2 linked regions of the Caenorhabditis elegans genome follow. The protein of the gene in region 1 interacts with the protein of each later gene in a pairwise test. Each region holds a gene or a part of one and is shown on either strand. Other genes may lie near its edges.

Evidence for each region.
Region 2: the proteins of cth-2 (region 1) and DH11.2 interact in a two-hybrid assay, tested with the Caenorhabditis elegans proteins (one large-scale study listed by BioGRID).

What each region holds. Positions count from the first base shown.
Region 1 is NC_003280.10:7,056,140-7,059,897, forward strand, and holds cth-2 (Putative cystathionine gamma-lyase 2), read right to left. Parts: upstream 1,822-3,758; 5' UTR 1,805-1,821; coding exon 1,730-1,804; intron 1,682-1,729; coding exon 1,060-1,681; intron 659-1,059; coding exon 177-658; 3' UTR 45-176; downstream 1-44.
Region 2 is NC_003280.10:8,010,732-8,014,489, reverse strand, and holds the start of DH11.2 (F-box domain-containing protein), read right to left. Parts: upstream 1,675-3,758; 5' UTR 1,656-1,674; coding exon 1,533-1,655; intron 1,083-1,532; coding exon 947-1,082; intron 897-946; coding exon 801-896; intron 756-800; coding exon 226-755; intron 1-225. Other genes in the region: glna-2 (Putative glutaminase 2), read right to left, coding at 3,090-3,188, 3,335-3,712.

The sequences.
Region 1 (3,758 bases):
ATTCCAATTTCTGTTTCGAATAACAATTATCATTTTTCATAGAAAAAATTTATTGGATAGTGTAAGACACAATTTGAGTCGATTAGTTAGAGGTTGTGGTGGAGACGAGTGGGCAATTAAAACTAGTACCGGCTTTCAGATTTGAAACAAATGCATATCATAAAATGATTGAAAAGTTATACTTTTGGAATGGCAATCTTCAAAGCTTGATCCAAATCAGCAACCAAATCATCGAGATCTTCAATTCCAACAGAGATACGGATAAGGTTATCAGTGATTCCAAGAACAATTCGAGTTTCAGCAGGCACTGAAGCATGAGTCATGATAGATGGAAGCTCGGCAAGTGATTCATATCCTCCAAGAGATTCAGCCAAAGTGAATACTTTGAGAGCAGAAAGGAAAGCACGACTCTCTTGAAGTTCTCCTTTAAGATAGAATGAGATCATTCCAGACATTCCCTTTGTTTGTTTCTCATGAACTTCATGTTGTGGATGAGATGGAAGAGCTGGATAGAGAACTGATTCGATACGATCATTGGCTTCAAGGTATTTGGCAACAGCAAGAGCATTTTCATAGTGAGCTCTCATTCTGATGTGAAGAGTTTTGAGTCCACGATTAACAAGGAAGCAATCAAATGGAGATGGGACTGCTCCGACGGCTGAAAATAATAGCATTAAAATTTTGAGTTAACGATTAATTTAGCTATCCAATGAGATTTTAAACAGTTTTATAATTTTGCGACATTTGACTCAAGGTACATGTTCTCGATATGAGCGAAACTTTGCTTCTACAGTACCCACAAGTATTTAGCAATTTTTTTTATAGTTCCAATGTATTTTATATGATTTCTAAAGCAGAGAAACTGATTTCTTTTCTAGAAAAACACGAAGAAATTAATATTGAAATTCAGTGAAAACCGTTAAGAAAAAATTCGAAGCACTTGCGAATACAGTAGCTGCCAAGTTTCACTAGCTTCAAGACCGGTTACCGTATCTATGCCTCAAAATGACAAAATTATACGACTAGATTTCACTGCGTACAACAGCACAGTAAACTAACCAAGTTGCATGAAGAAAAGATGTTGTTGGAACTCGTCATTATCAGTGATAACAGCACCCATAACAACATCAGAATGTCCATTAATATACTTGGTAATTGAATGAACGACAACATCCGCTCCAAGAGAAATTGGGCGTTGGAAGTATGGAGACATGAAGGTATTATCAACAACTACAACAATTTCTGGATTGGCTTTCTTTGCAGTTTGGACCACTGCGGCAATATCAACAACCTTCAAAAGTGGGTTAGATGGAGATTCAAACCAAACCATCTTGGTATTTGGTTTGATTGCTTTCTCGAGATTCTGAACATCCGTCAAATCAACCGAATCGACTTCCAATCCGTGATTAGGAACAGCAACACGGCGGATATATCTTTGAGTACCTCCGTAGACATCATCAGAGCACACAATATGATCTCCGTACTTGAGAAGATTGATGATTGCGGAAGTTGCGGCAAGTCCTGAAGAGAACACTTGGCAGTGTTTTGCGTCTTCGAGAGCAGCCAGATTCTTTTGAAGAACATCACGAGTTGGGTTTCCAGCACGAGAATAATCGTGTCCCTTTGGCTCTCCTGGATTATCCTGTTTGTAGGTCGAGGACAAGCTGATTGGCGGGACCACCTGAAAAGTATCAGTTCAGTATTTATATTCAGAATACCTATGACAAACCTGATTCATATCCCATTGCTCTGGTTCTTGTCCAACGTGGATAGCAGCAGTTCCGAAGTGTGGGAAAGTAGCCATTTTAATCTTGAGACAGGCTGCAATAAGAAGACTGATGTCGAGAAATGATAATCAAATGGATTTATAAGTGTGAGAGAAAGAGGAGAGAAAAGAAAAAAGAACGAATGAAAGGGGCGGGGTCAAACGAAGGGTCGGTCGACACGCCGAAAGTTTCAATGAAATCGTTAAAGAAAAAAACGTTCTTGACATTGGTCAAAAAGACGTTAATCTTCTATTATTTTTAGATTTTACAGAATGTAGCTGATTAGGCAAACAAGATGTTAAAAACGGAAGAAAAGAAGAAAAATAAATAGTGATGTGCAAAGAAGGAATGAACAATGTTTGATACTATTGAATGATGTACACATCTGGAATAAACACTCTTATCAAATCTCCAAACGAGACCATTTTGCAGAAAAAACCGGATATGAGAAGAAGCGTGGGAAATTGAGAAATTTGAAAAATAAAAGATAAGATTAACGACTGATAGGTGGCGTATTTTTCATACTTCAAAAAATAATATGTATTTGGCACAAGTTTGGTAATAAATTTGACATTTCTGGGGATTCTGTGGTGTTTTTATATGTTGGTTAAAAACAATTTTTATTGCTCAAATATGGTTTTTTCGTGAACAGCTGAATATTTGTAAATTCTATAGTATTTTTTGAAAAGTTCGGAATTTGAATTGTATAATGTCAAGTCACATTCTACGAACCAGAATCTTAATTTTTAACATGAATTGGCCTAATACTAGTAATAGAAACATTTTAATAGAAACAGAGGTTTCTACAAAAATACATTAATCCTACAGTACCCCGACCCTATCCCTCCCTACTAATATTTGTTTTTATAGTAAAAACTTAAAAATCGTGGAAAATGTTATTTTGATCGACTTCCAAAAGGATAGAAGAGAACTAACTTAAGTAATTACAACGTTGTATAAATAATAGAAATTTCCGAAAACATTTAAGGATGTATAAAAATTTCTATATTTTAGCACCATAAGATGAGTTTTTTTGAAAATCTCCACTGGCTCTGCATACAAACTACAGTAGGCCAACAGTATCATGACAATGTATCAGCTCAAGTTCACAAAGAGTTCTTGCTGCAATTATTTTTTTTTACAAACTATGAAAGTCAGTAATCATAAATGTATTTACTAATGACGATCTTGAAACAAAAGATAACACAGTTTGACGTGACTTACTATTAGAGTTTCCAAAGTCTTGAAGGAATTTTAAATTAACTGAAATCACGTAATTGTGCAGTTTGAACACTATCTTAATGTTTATTTTGTTCCTTCGTTTAGTTGATATAATATTTATCACATGTTACAGTTTTTTTTTTCAAAAAGTTCAAATTCCAGTGCCAATCACCCCACGTGGAGGTCTACCATGTGGTATTTTGTTTGAGAAACATGTCGATGAAATCAAATCCTCAAAGCATCGATTTCTCTATGTCTCGTATCATTTTTTCGTTATCAAAAAGAGAGAAGAATTTGTCTCATTCTCTCGTTGTGTCTACTGCAAACCAGCCACATGTGTGTCTCGAGCAGTTGGACAAAGGGCACCAGAAGGAGAGAGTTCAAGTTCAAAATATCATTTGGAAGAGGCAGATAGGGATTGAATACATAGAAATGATGATAATTGTGACGTGTTTTTTAATTGGCAACCTTGGCGTGGAAAAGATAAGATTTGAGACGACATTTCATTTGCAGGAAGTCTTGAATTTGGAGGAGGAGGAAAAAGAAAGCGAAAGTTTCAATTTATTGATCAATTGCATTTTCTTCTAGATTTAGAAATAGGTAGAGTTGCTACCAGTAGGTTTACATTTTATTGCTTGTGATCAGAAAGCAGGTTTTACCAATTTGCTACTTGAATGAAAAATTAATTTTTTAAATGTATAAGTACCCATAATTTTAGATTAACTAGATTAACTAACTAGATTAATAATTTTCACCAAAGGTGTAAAAATG
Region 2 (3,758 bases), 950 kb from region 1:
TGAAAAAGGAATTAAAAATATAAATTCCGTTTATGAATATCGTAATTTCACATATTTCTGAAACGCGAACTTAAAGGCGTACGGATTTATACGGATGGGCCTCGTTGCGAGAAAAAATGTACCATAAGTTTTCTCGCGGCGAGACTCAACCAAAAAGCCTTTCAGCACACCTTTCATAAATATTTGTAATTAAGATACCGATCAATAGATCTTAACAAAACTAACTTTAAATTCCGGGAACATATAAATGGTTCTTCTTCCATGGGCCATGACCAGCATGTACGGTGAAGCTTTTCGTTTATCGACCAATTCCAATTGATTTATTTGCAATGATAAGTCCATCATAGTTCGAATGTAACAAATGAACATCTTATTACGGTATCTATTCAAATTTGCAGGACCAGACCATCCTTGACCAGTAGTTGTATTATCACTAAGTCGTATATTCCATACAGTCAATTTATAAGATATTTCTTTCAAGAAACGTAGAAGTTCTCTGAATCCAGCACAAGTGACATCTTCATTGTCGGAAAGTACAATATCAAGATTTATTTCTTGAAGAGTTTTGCAAAGCGAAGATGAAGCTTTTAAGTTTTCAAAATTATGTGACAAAGTCAATCCACCACATTCTGCTCCTATTTGAATTGTCAACTTTGTTAGATTCGTGAATGCAACTCCAGGTTGTGGATGACGGAAGTTACAAGCTGTTCCACTAGTTGCCGCCAAAAATGAATGTTTTTCGAGAAGATGTTGAACTGAAATTTGCAGAAAATAAACTCCAATTATTCATTGAAACGTACTGTGTGAAAACAAAGAAACTGGAAGAACAATATCCTCCACTTGGCAGATGTATTTCTTAATCAATAGAATCAAGAATTTGTCAAATTTTTTGAGATCTGAAAAGAACACTTGAAATGTTTTTAAATTTTTCTATTCAGCTAATTACCGTAGCAACTGCGAGTTGTTTGATACAGTTCCCATACTGGATCATGAAGTGCACAATAATATACTTTTGAGCACAGAGTTCGATGGACAAAAGTACCAAATGAACGACTCACTTGATCCCAACCATAAGCAACTAACTGAAAAAAGAATATACAATTATTAAAAAAATACATAAATACTTTGGTATTTTCAATGAACAAACTGATTTCGCTCTAACAAATAAAATATAATAACGATTTAAGTTGACAATTTTTTTTCTATTTTATTCAGGTTACCTTCACTCAGATCCGAGACTTATCTCGCGTGTTCTTCATTTCCATGAGATTTGCCCCAGACTCAAGAATATATCAATAAATAAATATTGAAAGAAAAAGGTTTTTATTTTCAACATTTTCCCAAATAGGCCCTAGTTATATTTCAAAGAATTTCTGCATCACATCAAAAAAATTAAAAATTGAGAACTGTAAGTCAATACTGAGGCACTGGGCTTCAAGACCATACATCAAAAATGGTACAACGATATTGCAAGATAGTCACTTTTCAAATTGGAAAAAATATACAAAAGAAGTATGATAAGAAAAACTGACCTCTGTTGGAAGAACTTTGGATACAATAATTTCAATAATTTCATCTGGAAGTTGTGGTAAATCAGATGAATCTTGAACACGAACCACTGGAAGACGTACACAACGACACCGATTACGTGACATTTTGAACGAAGTGACCAATCTGAAGAGAAATGAAGAATAACAAGAAGAAGAAGAAGAAGAATACGAGGAGCCGATTAAAAATTGTAACATAGAGAAAAGAGACGCAGAGAGAAGGACGAGCCATGGCCAACTGTCAAAAACATTTTACCCCCACTTTTTATTTTGAAAAACAAGTCAAGATTCAACCGTAATTGTTCTTTTGAAGTTTCACAGCAATCAGTAGGGACCGACTTTTATATGAACATTTCTTTTAAAAAGTGAGAAATTGTTAGATGTACATCTTTCGTGATGAACAAATAAACATGTGAATTAAACAATGAATCCACAGTTCAATTTGTGAACTTGTGGTCTTCCTCCCTTTTATACCGATTATATTTTCTCCGCCTTTATTTGCAATTGAAATTGAATTAAAAATAAGATTTAATTGAAAGTTGCCAATGTAATTCAGCTGACTCTTCAGGATATTTGATAAAATTCAATAAAAATAGACGAAACATTCTAACGAATCAAAGAACGAACGAAGTGGAGTAAAACACAAACAAATAGTTGAGGAGGCAAAACGAGATGGGTCATGTGAACGAAAAGTGGGCGATTTTAAAAGACCGATGTGTGATTTTGTGCAAAATATTTGTCTTATCTAGGTGCATAGAGTACCAACGTTTCTACTGACTAAAACGGCTAAATAACAGCACAGCAACTTTTTTTGCTTTATAAAATTCCACAAAATCAGCTTTTTTCAGTTTTGCCGGAACAAGTTGAAGTAAACAATTGTAAATTGAAACACAAATTGTGGAAATAAAAATTGTTTGATCTGTCTATAGGAAAATTGGGTCAGAAAAAAAAGTTGAAAACAATTTTTAACTGAAACTTTCGTCATGTACTTTGTCAAAATTGTTTAGAATGAAAATAACAAATTAGAAAAGATCACGAAACACTATAAAACAAAGATAAGATAAAAGACTACTCGGCATTCAGAGGCAACTTCCTGCCATAGTGGCACTAAATAAGTTGCCAAAGTGTGGCAGGAAGTTGCCTCTGAATGCCGAGTAGTAAAAATTAAAATGCGTACTTTATAAGAGCATACATTTTATCAATTGTTTTCTTTTTAAGCCGAAATAGCTTGGCATATTTTAGTTCTGAAATTTCATTCATCACATCAAAACACACATTTCAAAAATTCAGGAACAATAACAAATCTCGATCATTGTTTGAAATATTTTATTATATAGGGTAGAAATTGTTTAGAACTATGTGAAAAAAACAAATCAAACGATAGAAAGATCTTAATTTACGTTGTTTGATTTTTGGAGGTCAAACGTATCACTCAATATGTTCACAACCATATGATGTTTTTAGAGGGGAAAAGAGAGAAGAGAAACTAACAACGTCATATTCATTGATTTATGCAAAAGTTATGGAACTATTCAAAAATAACTAATCAATTGTAAAAGAAGGCTTCTCTGGAAAACCATCATCATCAATCTCATCGTCTGTATCCAATGAAGAAACTGAATCTTTTCTGTGTTGCTCTGGCTGAAATAATTATTTGTATTACACAGCTCAACAATAGTGCGAGAAATAGTTTTTTTGAAGTCACTATCGTCTTTGGAAACATTGATAGAGTTCAGCCAAAAAGCGGACAGTTATGTATTCTTTCACGTTGTTTCTTCTAAACATACCCGTTTCATTGCTTTTTCTAAAAATCTAGAAACATGGTCATGTTTAAAGAATTTAGCTTCATCCAACGGAGTCCGTCCCCAACGATCTTTCTTATCCACATCAACCTTTGCCACATTAACCAGGAATTTGATCATTGTCTCATATCCTTCAGTAGCTGCAATATGCAAGACTGTTCTATCATCGTGATCAGAGGTATTCAAATCTTCTCCTTGCATATACAATCTTCTCATTGTTGGGAGATCCCCAGCTCTTGCCACGTGGAAAACAGGGATTAATCGATCACGCTCTCGAATGTCTCTTCTTCTTGGATCACTTTTAATATTGGAGTTATGAACAAGACAGTCATAATTGTGAAAGTTGAAAGTGGAAACCAGTTTCTAAAATGTTAAATTTTTACTTTATACTATTATGGAACACAATAGC